Saccharomyces cerevisiae S288C: one gene and its partners. Changing the gene in region 4 together with the main gene of any one other region gives a genetic interaction. Each region holds a gene or a part of one and is shown on either strand. Other genes may lie near its edges.

What was found.
Region 1: of EAP1 (region 4) and YTA6, extra expression of one rescues a mutant of the other (dosage rescue), as found in Saccharomyces cerevisiae (one study listed by BioGRID).
Region 2: mutations in EAP1 (region 4) and EFT1 together harm fitness more than expected from each alone (negative genetic interaction), as found in Saccharomyces cerevisiae (2 studies listed by BioGRID).
Region 3: of EAP1 (region 4) and YPR096C, extra expression of one rescues a mutant of the other (dosage rescue), as found in Saccharomyces cerevisiae (one study listed by BioGRID).

The regions. Positions count from the first base shown.
Region 1 is NC_001148.4:414,121-420,448, reverse strand, and holds YTA6 (putative AAA family ATPase YTA6), read right to left. Parts: upstream 4,687-6,328; coding exon 2,422-4,686; downstream 1-2,421. Other genes in the region: YPL071C (uncharacterized protein), read left to right, coding at 1-401; putative ubiquitin-specific protease UBP16, read right to left, coding at 438-1,937; transcription regulator GCR1, read right to left, coding at 5,087-6,328.
Region 2 is NC_001147.6:572,370-579,295, reverse strand, and holds EFT1 (elongation factor 2), read right to left. Parts: upstream 4,199-6,926; coding exon 1,670-4,198; downstream 1-1,669. Other genes in the region: GTPase-activating protein BAG7, read right to left, coding at 1-732; retromer subunit VPS17, read right to left, coding at 4,466-6,121; YOR131C (putative haloacid dehalogenase-like hydrolase), read left to right, coding at 6,458-6,926. UniProt on the Saccharomyces cerevisiae protein: Catalyzes the GTP-dependent ribosomal translocation step during translation elongation.
Region 3 is NC_001148.4:723,588-728,049, reverse strand, and holds YPR096C (uncharacterized protein), read left to right. Parts: upstream 1-2,905; coding exon 2,906-3,208; downstream 3,209-4,462. Other genes in the region: LEC1 (Lec1p), read right to left, coding at 1-2,656; Arf family guanine nucleotide exchange factor SYT1, read left to right, coding at 3,333-4,462.
Region 4 is NC_001143.9:51,519-57,482, reverse strand, and holds EAP1 (Eap1p), read right to left. Parts: upstream 3,780-5,964; coding exon 1,881-3,779; downstream 1-1,880. Other genes in the region: phosphatidylinositol kinase-related protein kinase TOR2, read left to right, coding at 1-1,548; Ran GTPase-binding protein LOS1, read right to left, coding at 4,130-5,964. UniProt on the Saccharomyces cerevisiae protein: Can regulate translation through binding to eIF4E. Competes with eIF4G and p20 for binding to eIF4E in vivo and inhibits cap-dependent translation in vitro. Plays a role in cell growth and is implicated in the TOR signaling cascade.

The DNA of each region.
Region 1 (6,328 bases), on a different chromosome or scaffold from region 4:
CAATAGGAATTGATAATTATAAAAGAAAAAGACTAATTATAGATTTAGAGAATTTATCCTTAAATGATAAAGGGCCCAAGAACGGACATGCAGATGATAACAATCTTATTCATAACAATATAGTATTCACAGACGCTATTGATGATAAGGTCCTGAAAGAGATCATCAAGTGTTCCACAAGTAAACGCGGCGACAATGACTTGTTTTATGACAAAATATGGGAACGTTTGAGAGAAAAAAGGCTACAAATAATAAAATGGGTAGATTATAAGGAAATTGCTTATCTAAGCTGGTGGAAGTGGTTCCATAATCAAATGACTTCGAAATACACTTATGATGGAGAGGCTGATACCGATGTTGAAATGATGGCAGTGGATACTGATGTGGATATGGATGCGTAACTTACTATTATTATAATATACCTATGTACAGGGCGGTTATTTATTTACACGTTCGTAGTATAGCATATAAGCATATTTCTGTTCATTCAAGACAGTTGAAGCGGTAGATTCCTTTATGGCGGTATCAGATATTTGCCAATAAGGATACCGCAGGGCGTTTTTGACTTTTTTATATCTGCTTTTTTTGTAATCATTATGTGCAACGTTTTGCTCGCGATTCTTGTTAACTTCATTGTTGACAACTGGTGCTCTTCTGAAGGAAGATTCATCCTCCTTCCCGAAACGAATTTCAGTCTTGCGTCTGTAACACATATAGTGTCCACTCGAATGAGAACCGGTGTGTTTCACAACACTTTTCAAATTATATTTGACTTGCCTGTTTTCTGTTATTGTCCCACTCTCAGCCAATGTATATTCAGAAAGTGTTATTCTTTCTCCAAATTTGACATTGCAGGGATTTCTAGAATATGTAATACCATTGAATGTGGATCTCGATAAGTGAACAATTAATATGTCTGGCAGTTGTACTACTACATCTTTTTTGATGACCTTTCCCTTTATATTAGATACCTGCAAATTGCCCTTTGAGTAACGCTTGACGTACTGTTCTACTTCGAATGGTAAATTTTCGTTAATTGGGGCTTTAGTGGCATAATTTTTCAATCTGTCCAACATTAAAATTTCATCCGGGGTACAGTCCTTGAAATTTCTATATTCTTCATGGTTTAAGATTGCTCTTATTTGGCAGATCAGGCATGAATAGTCGTCTATGATTTCTGTTTCATCGTGTGCTAGAATATTGGATAGATTCTCTGATGTTTGTTGTGGTACGGACAGTTCGCGGATGAAAGTCTGTTTGTATGATGGTTCTGATAGACCCTTGCATTTAAGGCATACTAGAAACTTGGAAGTCTCGCCCTCAAATGGAAACTTTGGTATATTCAAATTACATATCTGTTTACTGTAATCGATCAATTTTGATCGTTCTTCCTGTAATGTTTGTAGTAATATTAATGTAAATTCATGTGCATCATTTTGTTTGGATGAGATCTTTGATTTAAAGATGGACTCTAATGTGTTTATCACTATTTTCGGAGAAATTGACGTCTTACGATCTTTTACAGATATCAAATCCAAAATTAAACTGGTAAGACTTTCGTGTAAGGGGGCAAGTGAATTAGACGAGTTTTCAAGTCGACTATGCCTTGTAGTGTTATCAACTGTAGGATTGTCGCCTTTTGCATTATTTGACAGCTTAGTTTCTAATTCTAGAAGGACCGTTCTTATCCGTTTCAAATATTCTACAAATCGAGGTATTCCAGCCAGGCCTTGCAAAGATGATGTTATGAAGCAATCATTCCCACGATTAATTAAGCCCACTGTCGTGTACTTCCCAATACTCTGCTTAGAATCCCCAAAGACTAGCGCACTTAGGCTGGGTGCAATGGCATATAGAGAAGCAGCAATTATCAAACCACATGAAACTTTTTTAATCAGTGAAGTCGGAGATTCTGTTACATTTTTTATCCAAGACATATTGTGCTTGTAGTAACTGCTGTACCTTGCATATACTGTTTGGGCAGAAGGAGAAGGTCCAATTAGTTGTTGGAGGGTATGGCGCTAACGGTCAAGTGTTTTATAGCTGGACTTTGCTTTCCCATTAACTCAAACGTGTATATAAATTGAGATTGAAGAAGAAACTTTGAATCTAGGTTAACTGGGTGCTATTGATTTATTTTTTTTATTTCACCCAAGTATATTATTTTGTTTTCTTTTTTTATTTCATTTTTTTGGGGCCAATATAGTAAGCAAAAATCCGGAGAACTGTATTGAATATCGTTCTGAGAAAACTAATTGTAAATAAGAAAGAAAAATATCAAATCATAAGGGAACCGAAGTTAGTTTTTCTTTGATAATACATAGAAAGTACATAGGTAATAAAATTAGATCAGAAGCAAGAAGTTGAAAGGGGAAAATTCCTTCTCATACCTTTCTTTGCCATTAAGACGCTCCCTCTCGTTCAGGAACCATTACTACCGAATTTACTAGACCACTCCTCATATTTTTGTAGAGATTCTGACGACACGCTCTTTTTTATTGTCAACAGAGCATTCTGAAAATCTTTTATTTCAATTCCTCTGATTTTATCAAAATCCGCAAACATCAACTTATCTCCTAAATCTCTAATAGGTTCCATTGCCGCTTCTTTGGCTAATGACGTAAGATCAGAACCAGAAAACCCCTCGGTCATTTCTGTTATTAATTCATAGTCTAAATCTTGCAGGCTATTTTTCTGCTTGGCCATTAATCTCTTCAAATGATATAGTCTAGTTTCATAATCTGGTAAAGGAATGTATAGTTTCCGTGAAAATCGTCTTCTTGCTGCATCATCAATCGCCCATGGCAAATTCGTTGCTCCTAAGACAAGTACTCTGCTGTCAAGCGTATTATTTCGGTCTTCCGATTGTGCAGTAGCACTAGATAGGGAGGACCACTGAATAAGAAGTTCTGTTTTAATTCTCCTCGAGGACTCATTTTCATTATCAGAGCGAGCTGTTAACATAGAGTCAATCTCATCTATGAAAATAATTGAGGGTGACAATTTTTTGGCCATGTAAAACAATGCTCTAACCAGCTTCTCAGATTCACCGAGGTATTTCGATAGCAAAGAAGATGCACTTACACTAAAAAATGTGGAATTGGACTCTGTCGCAACCGCCTTAGCAATCATTGTCTTACCTGTACCTGGTGGGCCGAACAAAAGCATACCTCTAACAGGTTCTCTTAGCCCTTTGAATAAGTCAGGCCGCAGAAATGGGTAAACCACTGCTTCTTTCAAAGAATTCTTCGCATTCCGTAAGCCTGCGATATCCTCCCAATAAACTTTTTCATCCGTAACAAGAATTTCATTAAGTATCTGTTCACAAGCGTTTCGATCTACTCCCTGCACTGATTTTAATATATCCTCCTTTCTGGAATCGAGGGATGAACTAGCAGAGCTTTCCTTATCGGGTGTACCACTTTTAGAACGCATGGGTTTGGATTCAGCAGGTACCGCTGTCGCTGAAACGAGTACTGGTGAACTAGGCTCCAAATTTTGCTCATTCCTACGAGAAACTTTGTTAGTATTGGATTTACTAGCCTTCAGCTTGCTATTTGTGGGTATATTCCGTGAAGACTTGCTGTTTTGCCTGTTAAGAGTAGGTGATTTTATAATCGGTCGATTAACTGTTGGCTTTTTGTAGTCATACCTTTTTTTCAAAGGTGGTGTTGGCTTATAACGTATCTGAAGTTCATTTGAATGCGATCCGTTGTTACTCACTTTTGAATGATTTGCCCCGTTTTGATACTGAGACCAGGCTAACTGCGCAGCCATACCTATTTCTGCTGCCTCCATTGATTTTCTTACTGGCGTTCGTACTCTTTCGCCTGAAGTCCGTACAACGTCAAGTGATCTTCTTTTAATTAGGGAGTTGTCAATCTTTCCAGAAGATTTGCTACTGGAAGAGAAGTTGTCGAGGCTAGCCCTTGATTTGTAATTTGTTTTCCTCTCATGTTTCAGGGTTGATATACGTTTTTTCTCCGCTTGTTCTCTATGTTTGCGTTCTTCTTCCTCTCTCTTAACTCTCTCCTCCTCCAACTTTTGGGCCACTTCAAATTCGACCTTTTCTTTAACCTTTAACTCGATCAATTTTTCCCTTTGAAGTTCTAAGTCCCTCTCATACTGAAGTTTTGCTCCTAACTTTTTCTCTTCTTCTAATTTCCTAGCACGTCTGATATTATCAGCCTGTTTGTTGATTTTAGCCTCCTTTTCGTCAGCTTCTTTCAATTTATCTCTTTTGGAACCCATTCTCCAAAGTTTTGGAAAACGCAAACCATTTCCTGTCCCAAGGCCCAAAACGGAAGAGGAGGATGACAAAGAGGGACTACCGTTTCCTTCGGCCATAAGCGTTTCTGCTTTACGACGTGCGATCCTTATATCCTGGCCAAGAATTTGGAAATCCTCAATGATGCTCCTCAATTCAGGATGATCAACTACAAGATTTCCTAACCCTTTCTTTAAGGTATAAGTCTTTTCAATTTTTCGTAGACCTTCATTGACGTATACCAGTAAAGTGTCTAAGTTTTTGTGGATTTTCCCATACGTTACTGTGTCCTTATTACCTTTGCTATTGATTATTAGGTCTGCTAGGTTTTTATATTGATTTTTGACAACAGAGTAAAGCAATTGCAAAGACTGCGCTAATGTGAAGTTCTCAGGTATACTAAACTTTTCATGTGCCATTATCCTAGACTTTTTTGTGTTCCCTCCTCGGACTTTTCTTCACCCAGGGTCTTACCTCTTTTGCTAATGAGATTAATGTTTTTTCCATCTTTCAAAATTTCGGATAGCCCATCTATCCAGCGGGTTTTCTCAATTCGCCAGGGTCTTTGACAAAAAAATTAAGTTTTCGTAACCCATATAGTCAGTCATGAGAATATATATTTAGTCGTTGATGGAAAGACATTTAGGAATTCCCACATAGGCATACATCCGCATAGGTATGTACACACATAAATCTATATAAATATTAAATAAGTATATATATTTTCTATAAAGGTAGTAATAACCTAATGACATTTCTCGTTATCGTCGCTTCGTTATTTTGTTGAAGGAACTATTGTCGCGGACAACCTCAATAAACTTAAGATGGTGTATTATGTCGCCTTTTGCAATACTTTAATTTCTCTTCTTCTGTCATTGATCTAACGTTCCAATTTTTAAAGTTTTCAAAAATACAAATTTCCTTGTTATTTTTCGTTAAATTTCTAAAGTACAATGATAGAGAATTCAGAGTCAGACCGTTATTTATCCTGAACTTTTCTAGGTCCCCTACTAAAATCTTCCGTATATCCTCCCTCGGTTGTTGAGGATTAGTAAACCTGCCGAGTTTTATGCCACGATCACATTCCGTTTCAATATAATCCATAATAATTCTTCTAGTAGGAAAAAAATGTGAATCTTCGCTAACCTTCCACCTTCGCCAGCCATAATTTTCAATCAATTTTTTTATTGAAGATTTACCGTTCAGACCAATATACCACTCCGCATATAGGTCCCATATTGTTTTATTTTCTCTGGACAGCTTGTATTTGATTGCCTCGTTTGGCCCCGCCTTCGTATCCTTTTTATTTATAATTTCAAACTTAGAAGAACTCTGCGGAAATGATGGAGCTGTCTTTGTCACTGTACCACTTGAATTTGCAGCCTCAGTAGAATTATGAATATTAGAAATTGGTACTGGTTTGTCAGCATCCGTACCAAGCGGATTACTGTTTTTACCATTTTTCTCAGGATCTTTCGATTCTGGGCTGTTATCATTGGGCTCCGACTTACTTGACTCTGGCGGTTTCTCCCTATCAACATCATCACCAGCTACCTCGGTGGGACTTTCAGGCATGCTAGTAGTGGAGTCGTTGTTTGGAAGACGAGGTCGTTCAGCTAGTTTTGAAGAAGATGATGGAGAATCTTCATTTACCTTCTTAGAGTTATTTTCCGTTGTTGAACTTGAGCTACCACCAACTACAAAATCTGGAGAATGCTGAAACTGCTGAGGTGAGCGAAAAGATTCCGTGACAGCTGTGTTAGCCAACGTCGAAAGGGGTAATCTAGGGCTTGAAATGGATTTTGTAAGTAAGGAATCAAGAGCCGTCTGAGACGGAGTTGGTTTATCGTCTAGTTTAAAGCGTTTGCTATAGGGAGACTCACCAACGGGTGATGGAGAAAAAGGACTGCCTGTTGCTGCAGAGGCTATTGAACCTGGTAACGGTAGCTTCCTCTTCTGTACTATATCTTGCGGTTGCGGAGCCAAGGTGCCAAGCATCGGCTGTATAGAATTACTTAAGCTCGGGAACATGTTAATTGGCGCTAGCGCAGGGCTATTAGT
Region 2 (6,926 bases), on a different chromosome or scaffold from region 4:
AGTTCTGGAAGCCTCATACTCTTTCGGGCACATTTCATCCTTGGGATGAGACAAAAGTGAGGGTTGTACGATGGCCGCTAAATTGCTTGCTGACATTAAATTCTTCTTTTCATTTCTTGCAAATAAATTCAAGAGCGCGGCTAAATAAAGTATTAAATGGCGATTTTGTTGTGGTAAGAGCATATAAATATCTTCGTAGTCCTTAATGATTTGTTCTTTGTGCTCATTTATTTTTGGGTTTTCTAATATTGGATTTCTAAAAATGTCGTATAATGCTAGGGGAACCAAAGGCTCACTTAATGAGTTCAAATATCTTTTTAATAAAGTTGCAATGTCATGAACATTGAAATCACACCATCCTTCAAATTTACGACCATAATCGGGCGGTTTAGAGAAAACAGCTTGTAGCTCTCTAACACGTTTATTGCTTCCCGCAATACGGAAAATTCCTGTTGTGTCTAATGCATTCTCTTTTAGGTATTTCCCACTTTTTGCTATTACCACCGGTATGGAACCAATTTCATTTGTACTTTTTTGGATAATTACTTCCTCTTGAGCAACTTTCAGTGATTCCTCGAGTGAGACGCCAAATACTTTACCATCAAATTCGTTTTGCAAATTAGTAAAGGTGTCCCTATCCTTCTTGCCCTCAACAGAAGACATTGAAGATGACCTATTCTGTGGAGAACCCTCTTCAGAAGAAGGTGTAGAAAGTAGATTCATGTTAAACATTCTATTTTATGTTGTGTAATAAGATATGTCCAGAAATATACTATGGTTATTTATGTACTCTTTCCTGTGTACGCGTTTCGATTATTTTGCAGGTTATATTATATACTGCTATCACATGCTAAAACAAGAGTATCTAACAATGGGAACACAAAGCAAGTATTGATTTACTCATTCCAGTTGTGTAATTTTCTTCTAAAGATGTACTTAAATAAGAAGAAAACAATGATTGTCTTCGACCTCAACGCCTCGAACCAACGCTTTCCCCAATAGCGAGAGAAAGTAAGTAACCGGAAAATTAATTACCTCTTTCTTTCACCTGCAGGGGCTGAGGTGCTTCTGTTAGTGCGCCTCTAGAAGTATCGGCCATAATGAGATATATACTTTGGTTGCCCCTCCGGTTTTGAGGGAGTTTTAGCCCGATGAGGCTGGTCCTCCCCTCCAAGGATTTTTTGTATTTCCTATTTCGCTCTAATTATAGAAGCACCAACATACGGCGGGGTATAAACCAAACAATAGCCGCGGAAGCCCAATCTTCTTCTCCTTTTTTCGTAAACGGATAAAAAGCTATGACCAAGAGCCAGGTAAGTTATACGTAATACTACCTCAGGACCGATGTCATTAATGAATTATAATGGTTTTTAATAGTTTTTTCCATAGTATATCTAACGGGGTGGTGATACGTCGTAATAGTCAAGAAGTTGCCGTTCCTCCCCCTCTACAAAGGGGGCGGTAATACGAAAAGGTCCATTTTTATGATGGGTTCGATTGTAAACATTCGGAATATAACTATATGACAAAAATGTGTAAGAAAATAATATATAAGTCTATTACCATACTATTTTTATTACGACAAAATTTTAAAGCAGAGAATAAATGAAAAAGATCATAAGGCGGTAAGGTTTGCTCTTACAGAACCACCTTTTCTCATTTAGACTTCTTACAATTTGTCGTAATATTCTTGCCAGCCTGGAACTTCTTCCTTCATACCGTGTCTCTTACGAGCAGCAAGAACAATTTCACCAGCCTTAGAGGTTGGGTCCAATGGGTCAGAACCTAAAGTGGACCAATGGTCGAAAACCATTTGTGGGAAAGCTTGACCACCGGTAGCTTGTCTCAATTCACCAGTGAAACCGAAAGATTCGTTAACTGGCAAGTAGGCCTTGACGGTAAACAATGGAGTACCTGGTCTTTGTTCTTCAGAAACGACTTGACCTCTCTTCTTGTTTAAGACGGAGTAGATACCACCGACGGCTTGTTCTGGACATTGAATTTCGACCAAGAAAACTGGTTCTTGGATCTTTGGATCAGCCAACAAGAAACCGGCGTAAGTAGCTCTTCTCATGGTTGGGATGATTTGACCACCACCTCTGTGGATAGCATCGGCATGTAAAGTAACATCCAAAATGTTAACTCTGACAGATCTCATTTCTTCACCGAAAATTGGACCTTCCTTGGTAGCCCATTGGAAAGCAGCAACAACGGAATCCTTGATTTCGTGCAAGTATTGGACAGCCTTAGTTTGGTCAATAACCAAGTTTGGACCGTTACCGTCTGGACCGAAACACCAGATCTTTCTGGCATCGGTGACATCCCAACCGTAGTCGTCAGCCATGATTCTAGCTCTGGCCTTGAAATCATCTCTTGGGTTGATGATACCGTTTTCAATAGCCAAAGAGACTTCTTCGTCAATTGGTTCAGCCTTCAAGTAGATTCTGTTATGCTTGTTTGGAGACTTGGACAAAGCAGTTTGAGAAGATTCACTTTCAACAGTTTCTCTGTAAGCGACAACTGGTGGGGAGATCTTCAATGGAACACCAGCGTGGTCGTGTTCCAAATCTTGCAAACAAATTTCCAAATGCAATTCACCGGTACCAGCAACGATATGTTCACCGGATTCAGACATATAGGTCAAGACACATGGATCAGACTTGGACAATCTCTTCAAACCTTCGACCAATTTTGGTAAGTCGTTAGCGTTCTTGACTTCGACAGCGACTTGCACAACTGGAGAGACAGAGAATTTCATGACCTTCATGTTGTGAGCAGTTTCACTGGTGGTCAAAGTACCAGTCTTCAACAAGAATTGATCGATACCGACTAAACCGATAATGTTACCGGCTGGACAGTCATCGATTGGTTCGACAAATCTACCCATCATCAAAACAACTCTTTGAATGGCCTTGATGAACAAATCGTCCTTCTTACCTGGAACGTAGTTTGGACCTTGGATTCTGACCTTTTGACCGGACTTAACAGTACCGGCAAAAACTCTACCGAAGGCGTAGAATCTACCCTTATCAGAGGTTGGCACCATCTTGGAGACGTACAACATCAAATCAGCCTTTGGATCACAGTTCTTGATAGCAATACAGTTGGCATCGTCAGCTGGACCTTCGTATAATTGTTCAGCTCTGTAGGCTTGAGCAGTGACTGGAGATGGCAAGTGCAAGACAATCATTTCCAATAAGGCATCGGCAGCTGGCAAGAACTTTCTCATAACAACCTTCAACAAGGCCTTACCTTCCAAGTCCTTTTCGTCACCCTTCAAGACAATTTCCAACTTTTCTAGCAAAACTGGAATTTCGTCTTTCTTGAAGTTCATGATAGCAGTGAATAATCTGAAGATTGGGTCCAAGATGAACATGTTGAAAGCTCTTTCCAATGGCTTACCTTCAGCATCAGTGTCCTTGTTGGTCCACTTCTTGGTCTTTGGGTTGAAGAAAGAGTCACCCCATAATCTGTCCATCATCTTGGCCTTGTCGACACCGAATTTCTTAGCATATCTGGTGGCGAATTGACGGATAGTGAAAGCCCAACCGTGCAAACCGGAACCGAAGGCAACGGTACCTCTGGCTGGGTAAACTTGGACATCACCCAAAACTTCATCGGCGTAGGTGGAAACGATGACGTTAACGGATTCAACAGTTCTGGCAAAGGTTTGGTATAAATCTTCCTTAGAAACTTGCAATTCCAACAAAGCTCTGTCGACCTTGTTGATAACAACAACAGGCTTGATTCTTTCACCCAAAGCTTGTCTCAAAACAGTTTCGGTTTGGACACAGACACCTTCAATGGTGTCGACGACAACCAAAGCACCGTCAGTGACACGTAAAGCGGCAGTAACTTCAGAGGAGAAGTCAACGTGACCTGGAGAGTCGATCAAGTTGATCAAGAAGGAGTTACCGTCGGTCTTTTGCTTGATTTCCTTGACATCTTCGTCAGACATTTCAGAGTATAGAGAAATAGCGGTAGACTTGATAGTGATACCTCTTTCTTGTTCATCCTTTCTGGTATCGGTGAAACGAGCTTCACCAGCCTTAGCAGCGGAAATAATACCGGCTCTTTGGACCAAGGAATCGGTCAAAGTGGACTTACCATGATCGACGTGAGCAATAACGGACATGTTACGCACATTGGTAACTTTGTCCATTAAAGAACGCATTTGGTCAACAGTGAAAGCAACCATTTTTATCTGTTATTAAAAATTCTTGGGTGCGTAGGTCTGGCTTTCTGGCAAATGGGGTTAAGTAAAAAAACCAGTGAAGCGTTTAATACAACAGTAGTATGCAATTGAGATTAATTAAAGGAAGGCTCATGGCAAAAAAAAATTTTCTAGGTGAGATTTGAAAAAAAATTTTAAAAGTGCAACACGGAAGTTTACCCGGGATTAATATCAACTAAAGGAAAAAGATCACCTTGTTCAAAGGTATGAATTTTCTACTTTATATACGTATTATTTAGTGGACATGCCCAAAAGTGAAGCAGCATGGCGCGCATTCAGTGATGTAGTGTCTGAGTCCTGAGAGTTGTACCCATCGTCTTCAGTGAATAGTTCATCATCAAATTCGGTATGAGCGATCTTGTTGATGGGGATTTGACTTTTGCGGTTGCTCTCTCCCGTCCAACTGTCCCCTTTAAGGGTTTGAGAAGTATCGGAGTTGTTGTTTGAGACAGCATGGCGTCCTAGACGTGACAAACCTCCGTTTTCATCAGCTTTTCTGATATCAGAACGTACTCGTTCTAGTAACGTCAGCTTCTTTCTTTCATACTCTATCTTTCTTAGTGTAAATTCTTTGATCGAGCTTCTTATCCATTCTTCATACCAGCTAATCCACTGTTTTCTCTCGATAATCATGTTGGACGTGATTCGTTGAAGCTTAAGGGTCAAAACTTGTTCGTTTTTAGCTGCAGCTTTCAACTGACGTAGTGCTTCATCGATTTTCATAGGGTTAATATCTCTTCTTGACCGGAACCTGCGTGCTTGTTCCTGTTTCGCCTTTGAATTCTGCTGTGCCTGTACTAGATTTCGCATGATAAAATGCCTGTTGGTCAATGCTTCCTTCACGGCATAAGCATCTCTGACAATCCACTCTAAACCATCGTACAATGTCGCCATGTCCATGGTTGCTATAATGCTATCAATATCACCCACAGCAGTCAATATTTTACCGTATCTTCTGTAAAGTTTATTGTGCTCATCTAGATTAACGAAATCCTGGCCGAAGGCATTTTCTTCTTGAACCATCATCTTGCGATTTCTGGAAACTCTTAGCAGTTTTTCTTGCAAGCTCTGAGAAACAACATATATAGACTTGACTAATGGCCGGAATTCTGCTAATTCTGTGATTTCATCATATGGAGGTGCTAATTGTTTCAATGTTTTTCTTTTCAACCCAGATGCGAGTGATTTGGACTTGTTGATGGGTGTGTACGTATTAAAGTCACTTTCAATGAAAAAGGCCACTTCTTCATTCCGAATAATTAAGGGGTCTTGCGATAGCCTGTTAAACCAAAGTTGGAAATTTCGCGTTACTTTCATCCTATCTTCTTCGCTATTAATTCCGAATGTAGTATACGCAGAGGGAAGAGTAGGAACAAAAGATTCCTGAATGGCAACATTCAGATATTTGAACAATTGGTGGAATTCTTCGTATGATTTTTTGACATTCTTGTATTGTTGTTTGCGAAATGTTGGCAAATTTGTGGAGCAATCAAATATAATAGTCGGATTCTCTTTCTTACCGGTTGCAGATCCAAATCGTTCCAATCCTGTTACTTTTGCAAGTAGAGTGTATTTTTTTTTCTCATCACTTCTTTCAGGAAGTATAACACGTTCTGATGGTTGAGATGGTTGTTGGTTTTCATTGTGTTCGTTTGAAGTTTTTGATCGTGTTGCGTTTCCTTCTTCACCAAGACCATTTTGAATGTTATTTGCAGTTCCGTTGTCCTGAACGGAAGCTGCAGTTTGCTCAGTACCTACACGCTCCTCTGACATAGAAGATGATCCATCTGTGGTTGTTGCAGCAGGTTCAGAATCTTCCTCCTGGGGCTCAGCAAATGGATTGTTATCCAGATCATCATATGGATCATAAGGTACAGCCGAAGTCATTGTTCAGAGGATAGATGGATTGACTAAGGGTACAGTACGGCAAAAAAAAATTAGATCAGCTTTTCAAAACAAACTATTTTGGCGTTTACCAAAACCAAAACAGTATATTCAACTAGTTCAATCACTCTTGAAAACGTCCCCTTTCTACAAAATTAGGCTTTGAACGCGTGCTATGGAAAAAAGTGTAAAGAAAACGAAAAAACCAGAAAAGTCATATATATCTTATAACGAAATATCAGGGTGTTCGACTCAATCGCCAGGTGCCGCTAACACAATCATTAGGATAGTCGGGCAATATATACGGTTCAATAGTCACTGAAAGTGTATCACAGAATAATGACAAAGCTACAAGGACTACAGGGATTAAAACACATCAAAGCGGTTGTATTTGATATGGATGGCACATTATGCCTACCCCAGCCTTGGATGTTTCCAGCAATGAGAAACGCCATAGGATTGGAGGACAAATCGATTGATATCCTTCATTTCATTGATACATTGCCCACAGAAAAAGAAAAAAAAGAAGCGCATGATAGAATAGAATTAGTTGAGGCAAAAGCCATGAAGGAGATGCAACCGCAGCCTGGTCTGGTTGACATAATGAGGTATTTGACGAAAAATGGTATTAGCAAGAACATATGTACTAGAAATGTCGGAGCCCCGGTAGAGACTTTTGTTAAAAGATTTATTCCATCCGAGCTTTCGAGGTTTGACTATATTGTGACAAGGGAGTTTAGGCCTACAAAACCGCAACCAGACCCATTATTACACATCGCCTCGAAGCTAAATATAAGGCCCTTGGAAA
Region 3 (4,462 bases), on a different chromosome or scaffold from region 4:
AAAAGGCATCTTGATGTTTGGTTACTAAGTTATGGATTTCTTCCACGACATCGAACTGTGTGGAAACGCCCAACTGACCATTGATAACATCATCAACAAGCCTGATCAAATCACTCATGAACTTCTCAAAATTTTTCAAAGCAACATCCATCCTTGCAACTTTGAAGATCTTGACCATAGGTTCGTAAATCATAGTGACAATTGCCTTTAGCATTTGGGTTAACTCAGGATCTTGCCATAGCTGCCTCATTAGCTGTTTATCATGTTCTTTAATATACAATTGCCATAAATCTTTGACGTGTGTGAAATAAATACCTGACTGATCTTCGCTGGTTACATTCAAGGCATCCGTGTCTTCTTTTTGCAGTTTCCATGATGAATAGGATTCAATAAGTCCCGCGACAACCTCGTCTGGAATTAGATTTGCAGCTGCACTTTTCATTAATACTATCAATGGTACAGGCATGTTCATGGATTCGGATTCTGCATTTACTGCGTCCATAGTAAAGAGTTTAGTATCATGCTCATCCTTAGTATCATTATTAAAGACAAAATCCTTCAAGCATTTAGTCACAACTGAAGCGCCCGGGTCCATCTCAGCAATTTTCCTTTCTAATTCCTTTATAGCTACCTTTTGAGTTTTCAAATCATCTGTTAATATCGTAGAAAACATTGTTTGAAGGAGCGAATGACCACCGAAGGGTTGTGCCATAAATAATTCAATCATACCCCTCATGATCGCTATTGGATTAGTAAATTTCATGATCTGTCCCATTACTGTGTACGGCATAAGCTTATGTAACCGTCTTATTTGTGTATAGAGTTCATAACTGTTATCGTTACCCAGAAACATTTGATAAATCATTGAGGAAATATAAATCTTACACCATTCCACAAAGTCTTGTAAAAGTGGTGACAGGTCTTCAACTTTCGTATTGTCCTTGATTTCTACTAGTAGACTCATCAAGTATTTTTCATCTTTTAACAGGGATGTTTTGAAATCTTTCATTGAGTCTTGCAGCTTTAAAGACTTTTCTAACGCCATCTGTTGGAAACGTATTTGGTTCTCCAAATTACTTACATCTATCAGAGCCCTGTTTCTAATGTCATCTGCTATTTTCGGATTTATGTCCTTAATATCTAAATTAGGCCCACTTAGGAAGAAGCGACGAATAGATGAGCTTTGAGAAACCTCTGCATCTTTACACAAAGTCCTTAAATATTGTCTTAATGAAGTTCTCATTTTTTCACCCACCAAAGTATTGATTTTTGAATCGGATGCATCTTTATATTCATCAAAATCACTTTCTTCACCTTCACCTTCTTCCTCATACTCGTCCTCATCAATATTATCTTCTTCCTTGATCTCATTTAGAATATTTTTTCTCAACGTTTCAGTTTCTTTTTCTGTGAGTACTGTTTCTGTAGCAGATAATTCATTCGTTGTCTGTAAAAATGAAGAATTATCAGACTCTGATGCAGATTGTAAATCAGTGTCAAAAGTGTTGACGATTTTTTCCCTGGCTGCTGATTTAGTTTGCCCATTGTGTAACACTTCGGTTTTAGTTATCATAGACGTCACTTTTTTATTTCTATGAGGTAAGCGCGGACATTTCTTCCCCGGAAATTCTGATTTTAAATCATGAGATAGTTTTTTGAAGTCGCTGTATGTTCTTGTCACATAGAAATAACCAGCATGGTGATCAAGATTACTATTCTCTTCATTGCTGTTATCTTGGTCGTCGTCATCTTGCTTCTTAATCTTAATCAAGAAATAATGATGTTTTCTAGATTGCTTGCTCTTAGTTGAAGGCACGCCAAGGGATAATTTCGAAAATAAAGATGCTGAGGATTCGGGCATACTATTTATGGTACTGTTAATAGTGTTGTTGAAGGCATTCTTCATCCATTTAGAAGTGGAAGCAAATGATTTTATAGCATGGCTTTTGGGACTCGAAGTTGGAGTAGATTTACTAGACTTGTCATTATCCACACTTTCAGTACATTTCCGTGAATTCTTATTGAACACGGATATAATATTGACGTCCCAACCGTTAATAAAAACGGATTCGTTAGTGAGCAAATTCTCTAAATTTTCTCTAGTTGGCATTGCAAATTTCTCAATATTAGAGCGTTTTCTCGCTTGGCCTGACTGTAAAACGAATTTATCCTCATTATAATACGCTTGCTCTTGAAAAGAGCCAACACCGGAGTTAAAGAGCAACAAGATAACCTTTGATAGCTTTTTGGAAACTTTCTTCCTTTTTGAAGCTTCCTCCCTGTCATAACTTTCACTAAACCCAAGACTCATGAAATGTTCAAAGAACACTTGAACCTTACTCTGCCAGAATTTTTCATCAACTAGCAAATTTGTTGAAAGTAAAGGAAATGTGGATATAAATTCTTGCAAAACATAACTCAGCATGGGATAATTAACGCTAAAATGGCCTTTGCCACCGAGCACTGGTGATGAATCGTTATTGGAGATAGGCTGTGGAGCTGTCGGATCGTTTGGTGAGAAAGGATAACCGAACTTTCTCAAAGCAAACTGATCGTTAAGCTTTCCAATTTCATAATCCAATTGACATCGAAGCAGTTCCCTCTTCAGGTAGTGTTCTTCCGTTGGATTTAAAGCAGGAGTGTCTTGAGTAATCATTTGAAGACTGTCTATTTTTGATTCTTTAGTACAATTATCTTCAACCACTGATTTCAGTACACAATTCCGACCACAAGGTAAGGTTCGTTTTTCTTTTTTTATAGAGCCCAATGCACAGTAATTGGATGTAGCTCTTAAAAAAGAATGAAAGCTAGAAAGTGATCAATTATTCGAAAAACACTTTAATACGTTCCTTGTTCACGCCTAAAAAGTTAACTGTCAAATGGTTAACGTACATTTATCTGTCTTATGAGAGGCGAAACAGGCGTAAGCATTAAAAACCCAAGGCCATCTCGTCCTTTTTCTTGTTTTTGGCGTAAAGGAGATGTTGAAAATATTAGGAAAAGTGATATAGGGAACGAAAAGAAAATAGACGCTAAGTTCAACAGGCTTCAGTATAATCTATATTACAAGCCTCTCTCGCACCACAAGGCCGGTTTATTGTACAAAGAACTCTTCTTCAGAAGCTGCTTCTCTTATACTACCTGCTCATTAGACTTTCAGGGTAAAAGGCACCAAGTGGAAAGAAAGGCAGTAGATATAGTACTTTGAATTCTTTTGACATCGCAAGGTTACTCGCATCCACTCCCTATTATTTACTCTGTTTCAACTCATTGTAACTTCATTTTCGCTAACTTCCCGCCAGACCAGCTCTTCAATCCACACTTGCCAGATAATGAATCAGTCTATTTCTTCGTTGATTAAGCTTAAATTCCTTCAATCACACAGTAACGATAAAAATGGCAACAAAAAGGGCGGAAGCAATGTTTCAACAGGCATAGATAAATTAAGAGAGTCGGAAAGTTATAGAAGTCCTTTTCTTCAACTCGCAGAAATACAGGAACACACTAATAATGACGACGATAAACTTGATGTAAAAGAATGCGAGCCCACAAAAAAACACAGCAAACTAAGCAGGATACGGCGTAAGATGGGTAGGTTAGACTTGAATTTCAGGTCAGCCAATGAAAAGGGTTCTGAAGATGATGAAATCTTGGTTGCACAACACCTCCGTAATGGACAAGATCCTGAAGAAATGCCTTTCAAATCAGAAAACAACATAGATTCGATAGAGAAAGTTCCCAAGCCCGATGGTGAGAGAGTCACGCTTACTAGCTCCGGGTCTGATAACGTAAAGAGAAATTCAAAACACGCCCCATTCATTCCTGTGAAACCTGCTCTAGAAAAATTTCCTTCTTCTAATAGATTGTCAAGAGATTACAGAAAATCACAAGAGCCTACCCTGTTTAACGGTGATAGATTAGTTCCTACTCTTCCTACTGTGAGTAGGATATCGACATCTTCTTCCGTCGGTTCCTCTACAGCGGCTTCAAGATATTTCAATCCGTCCAAAAGAGCTGTTGTTGCATCATCATCATCATCGTCGTCGTCAATAAAATTCAATTCGCTGCACGCAATACCACTTGATGCAACTCCTCAAATTGAATTGGCAAAACAACAAGATGAGATCTCCAAAAGGAGGTTCGGAAGAAGGCGCAGTAGAACTGTTGACGTATTTGACTATATTAACAAAAACAATACAGCAAAGAACAAACCGCCACTCTCTCCATCTTCTTTTATTAGGACTATTGACGAGAAAAATACAAATTCTCTTATGCAAGACCCCATGGGATCCCGCGGACCTCTTTTGCCCGATGATGCCAATATTATAAGCAATGATACAGATGGAGCGGAAGCAAGTCACCCAGACCATCAGGTTTTATCAAGGTCTCGATCTCAAAGTACGTCTTTTGTTCAAGGCAAGGGCGGCAAGAGAAAATCAATTGAAGATGAAGGCTACCATAA
Region 4 (5,964 bases):
GCGGTGCTTTGGCATGAGCAATGGTATGAGGGTCTGGATGACGCCAGTAGGCAGTTTTTTGGAGAACATAATACCGAAAAAATGTTTGCTGCTTTAGAGCCTCTGTACGAAATGCTGAAGAGAGGACCGGAAACTTTGAGGGAAATATCGTTCCAAAATTCTTTTGGTAGGGACTTGAATGACGCTTACGAATGGCTGATGAATTACAAAAAATCTAAAGATGTTAGTAATTTAAACCAAGCGTGGGACATTTACTATAATGTTTTCAGGAAAATTGGTAAACAGTTGCCACAATTACAAACTCTTGAACTACAACATGTGTCGCCAAAACTACTATCTGCGCATGATTTGGAATTGGCTGTCCCCGGGACCCGTGCAAGTGGTGGAAAACCAATTGTTAAAATATCTAAATTCGAGCCAGTATTTTCAGTAATCTCATCCAAACAAAGACCGAGAAAGTTTTGTATCAAGGGTAGTGATGGTAAAGATTATAAGTATGTGTTGAAAGGACATGAAGACATTAGACAGGATAGCTTGGTCATGCAATTATTCGGACTAGTTAACACGCTTTTGCAAAATGACGCTGAGTGCTTTAGAAGGCATCTAGATATCCAGCAATATCCAGCAATCCCATTATCTCCGAAGTCTGGGTTACTGGGTTGGGTACCGAATAGTGACACGTTCCATGTATTAATTAGGGAGCATAGAGAAGCCAAAAAAATTCCTTTAAACATTGAGCATTGGGTCATGTTACAAATGGCACCTGATTATGACAATTTAACGTTGTTGCAGAAAGTAGAAGTCTTCACTTACGCCCTAAATAATACGGAGGGACAAGATCTTTATAAGGTGTTATGGCTGAAGAGTAGGTCATCGGAAACGTGGTTGGAGCGTAGAACTACTTACACTCGATCGCTAGCCGTGATGTCCATGACCGGTTATATATTGGGGTTAGGTGACCGCCACCCTAGTAATTTGATGTTGGATAGAATCACTGGGAAAGTCATTCATATTGATTTTGGTGATTGTTTCGAGGCTGCTATATTAAGAGAAAAATTCCCCGAAAAAGTACCTTTTAGATTAACTAGAATGTTAACATATGCAATGGAAGTGAGTGGAATTGAAGGTAGCTTCCGTATTACTTGTGAGAATGTTATGAAGGTACTTAGAGATAACAAGGGTTCATTAATGGCAATCCTTGAAGCTTTTGCTTTCGATCCTTTGATCAATTGGGGTTTTGACTTACCAACAAAGAAAATTGAGGAAGAAACGGGCATTCAACTTCCCGTGATGAATGCCAATGAGCTATTGAGTAATGGGGCTATTACCGAAGAAGAAGTTCAAAGGGTGGAAAACGAGCACAAGAATGCCATTCGAAATGCAAGGGCCATGTTGGTATTGAAGCGCATTACTGACAAATTAACGGGGAACGATATAAGAAGGTTTAATGACTTGGACGTTCCAGAACAAGTGGATAAACTAATCCAACAAGCCACATCAGTGGAAAACCTATGCCAACATTATATCGGTTGGTGTCCATTCTGGTAGTTTTAATGTATTGAAAATCACTTAGTTGTATATAGCCTGTAAAAGTGTTGTATAAAAATGCATCTCATTCATTAATGTTTAGTTCCGAGCGTGACGTTACTAACTGCGAAAAAAGTTCCTTCGACTAGTAAATATCAAAGGCGAAAACATAAGTATATGGGAGAATTATAACAAGTTAAGTGATGATGATAGGATAAGATAATATAGGATACATGTTATATACAAACTCTAGATAATAAAGATGAAAAATGAAAAGGAAAAGAACATGCTTTTAGATAGTATGTTCACTGTGTTTTTGTCGTTTCCTGTCAAGTACTCGCTCGTTACGCATCTCATTTTATATTCTTTTTAGAGTTTAATCCTGGTGGTAACTGGTTTGTAACATTTTTGCCATTGGCATTAATAATAGATGGAATTGGCATAGGGGAGTTACTACCAAAACCTTGCTGGAAATTAGGGGGGAAATTTCCTTGTAGCATCATATTTGGATAAGGTGGCTGTGGCTGTTGTCCTGTTACCGGTAACATACCATTTGGTGGGATTGGGAACCCCTGTGGTAATGGTGGCATTGGGCCGTTAGGAAAGTTAGGATGCATTGGAAAAAACCCTGGAGGTGGGGGTGGTGGCATGTATTGCTGTTGAGGCAGATCTGGCGTTGCTGTTTCCTCTTGTTTTCCCTTGCTATTTCTTGTTCCGTTTGGATTTTTATTTTGCCTTAATTGCCTGTCTTCCTTCTTATTTACATCTTTAGAATCTTTCTGGAATTGAACGAGACCTGGTGGCGGTGGCATCATGCGTTGTGGAAAATTTGGTGGTACACCCATCACAGGAAATTGTGGACCCTGATGAGCAATTAGTCCTGGGGGTGGAGGAGGAGGAGTACTAGTTTCACTTTTACCTTTATTCAATAGCCCATTGAAAAATGCGTTGTTATTAGGAGGATGCTGGGTAAATGCCATTGGTTGCATTTGTTGCGGTTGCTGCTGGAATTGCGGAAGAGTCTGCATCTTTCCATTATCTTTGTCTGAGGCTGATAACAACTGCGATTCTGCATTTGGAGTGCTCGATCTAGATTCTTTGAAAAACGACATCAGTCTTGAACCACTTTGATGAGGTGTACTGTTGCCATCGTTGTTTACTACAGACACGTTTGACGATGGCACTTGATTATTATTATCTAATGAAGGCAACGAAGTGGCAGATTTATTGAAAAATGATGAAAACCGAGATGATGAACTTTTACCCAAATCTGAATTAGTTTCTAATTCGTTAACTTGTTCTATACTGGTTTTGGATAGGCTTGGCTGTCCAACAGGAATACCAGGTGTTTGTTGTGAAGATTCTTCCTTCTTATCTTGCCTCTTTAAATTCAAAAAATCTGTTATTGAACTAGGGCCCCTTGGAATGACCGGTCTTAAATCGGTGGGTGTTTCATGAGAGGCGCTTTCCCTGGGAGCAATTGCGGTAGAGTTACTGATTCCTTTAGATTTTGAAAGTTTTTTCAATTCTAATTCTTTCATCTTTGCCTTCCAATCTTCAAAATCTGCAATTGAATGGCCGACGTCACCTCCTAATTGAAGATTCTTGTCCATCTCCAGCATTTCTTGGTCAATCTTTTTTTCTTCATCATCTTGTTGAGATCTTCGTTTGCCTCCCTGCATGTTTTTGGTTCTACTCATTCTTCTCTCATCGTTTTTCCCATTCTTGTAACCAGCCTTCCAACTGCCTCCACCATTGTTCCCATTAAAATGATGGTTATTAGCATGCTTTTGATCTGGAGGTCCCATGCGCAATCGCCAAAACTTTCTTTTGGGTAAACTCCTCACAAGTTCCGAAATAAGTGGGTCTTCTTCGTACGAAGCACTTGCCAAAGATGGTTTCAAATGATAAAGTTCATTCATGGAGTATGCATATGTCTTGTATTGCAGATCCATTGGTTTGTAGTTCGTTATAGGGTCCGTCAAACTGCTGAAATTTAGCATGGCCGTTTTCTTATTTTTTTTTTTATTGCTTTCTTTATTGTTACCGCTCGTAGCAACAGAAATGTTAGAGCTATCAGTTGAAGATTCTACGCTACCGATTGGCTTCTCTTCTCTGCCCTTTTTGGCTAATTTTTGGAATAAATTTGAGATGGCTTGTTGCGATTTGTGAGTAGCGGCTGCAGTATCGCTGTCAGACAATTCACCTGAAAACTGGCTGCTTGATATAATTGAAGGGTCGTTGAGTTCCATTGTATGGGTTAAAGTCCTACTATGCTAGTTCTTTGTGTAGCTTAGAGACTGAAACATTCATATACTCTAATATCTCACCTGATCCTTTTTGAACCTTCCAACGATTTCTTTGAAATTAAAAAAACTAAACGTTTGTCATTCTTTACGTAATACATAGAAGTAATGGTATGTCACGTATAAATAATAGATAAAGAAGCACTTTTAGTGCCATTACATGACTAGCTGCTAAACCAAAGTGAATGATAAGTCTAATTACATATTACCAATTTAAATATTAGTATAAATATAATTACAACTTTTACTCTCGTTTTGCATTTTTTTTTTATTTTCAGGTTTTCTGCGCCTGAAAGCTATTGACCTTGCTTTAAAACAGAAATGAAATTATCTACAAACCATTTTTCGAATTGCTTTTGACCCATTGTGGTTAACATATTAACCAACTGAATCGTCAATTCCTGTGGTAATTGGATTTGTGGAAGGTAGATCTGAGTTAAATATTTTACACATTCATTCTCATTTGTGGTGGGGTTGCTGCTGACGATAAATAGCTCCCTCAGTAATCTTGCCAAATCATATGCCATTGTTTTGAAATTCCCTTCTTTGATATTGAACTTGTATATTGGATTGAACGGAATTTCAAAGATTATTGGGACACATTTCATGATGAAGTATTCGTTGAGACCATCTATTTTAAGGTTGGGATCTTTATTGATGTCGTCATTATCCAAGCAGGTCCCATTCCCAAAACATTTGATAAAATTGCACAATACATTGAGTGACACTTTCATCATTGATGTTTCCTGGATCTCTTGCGGCGTATAGGTGACCAAATCGTTTAATATGACCGGCAGGATTGCTCTGTTTATATCTGACAATAGTATCGAAGTGACGGAATTATTAGTAAATGACTGTAAAAATGTGCAGTAAGCCTTTTTCAATAGTATTTTATCTCTATACGAATCGGTGACCACGATATTCTTATTTACGGAGGTGGCTGTGACTGCAGTGTCTATAGGTTTGTTACTGCTTGATTGTTGGTCGTGTTGTTCATCAATCTCTTCGATAATAGAATGGACTTTGTTGATAAGCGGAGTAAGTAACTGGTTAAACAGCTGATAACAGTCTGTGTCCGTGTGAAACATATGAATCAGTTGAGATAAGAACCCAAGAAAATCAATCATCTCCCATGATTTTAAATCTGTGGACGATAAGATCAATTCAATCAATTTATTGATAAATGGTAAAATTTTATTACTTAAAATTGGAATTAACCTGGCAAAGGTAAACCTAGATGCATCGCGGATATTTTCGAACTTATTGAAAAAAGAGAATGTTACTAATATAACCTCAGCTATATTAGAGAATTTATGGATTAAAGAGTCATTGATTAATTTTTTGTTGACAACCATATTGTTGACCTGATTCTCAGGGACGAGACCAATGTGCAAACCTCTCGCTAAAGTACCAATAGCCATAAGAATGTGATGACATTCCAGAATCACAACTGGCGAAGCTCCTTGGGTAATACAACCCTCTAATTGTGTAAATAGCGGAGTTAATATCTGGTCCAATATATCGTAATCGATGGGGGTGTTGGCAGTGGCAGCAGTGAGCTCCTGACTGCTATTATTCAATGTGATTATAAACCCAATACCCTCAAATATGTACAACTGATTATCAAAAATTGTATCATTGTCATCCGTCCCTTGGGCGTTGATAGATGTTACTTTTATGTGAAGTAGAGGACTTATCTTATTAGTTATTTCATTAACCAAATTTTTGTTGGCAAAGAGGATTTTTTTCAAATTGATTCTTGTCAACTTCAAGAATCTTGTAAATAAATACCATGACCTTAGTCTGACGTTTTCTCTTTTATTGAACATAGCAAATGAGCTCATGAAAATATTCAATATTAATAGATACTTTTCATCATCATCAGTAGCATTTGCTGTGTTAGCACTAGTTGAAAATATGAAATTGTAGTTTTTCACAATTAATTCCATGAATAGTATTTGGATTTGTTCGTTATCAATGGCTAATAAGAAATCCTTCATCATTAACAATTCATTTAAAAATCGTACTAAAGTTAGCGAAGGTTGTGAGGTCATAATTTCATTCTTGTTCAAACCGAAATAGTTGTTCTTGGTACATTCACTTAAATTGAAGATTTGATAAATAGTTAGCT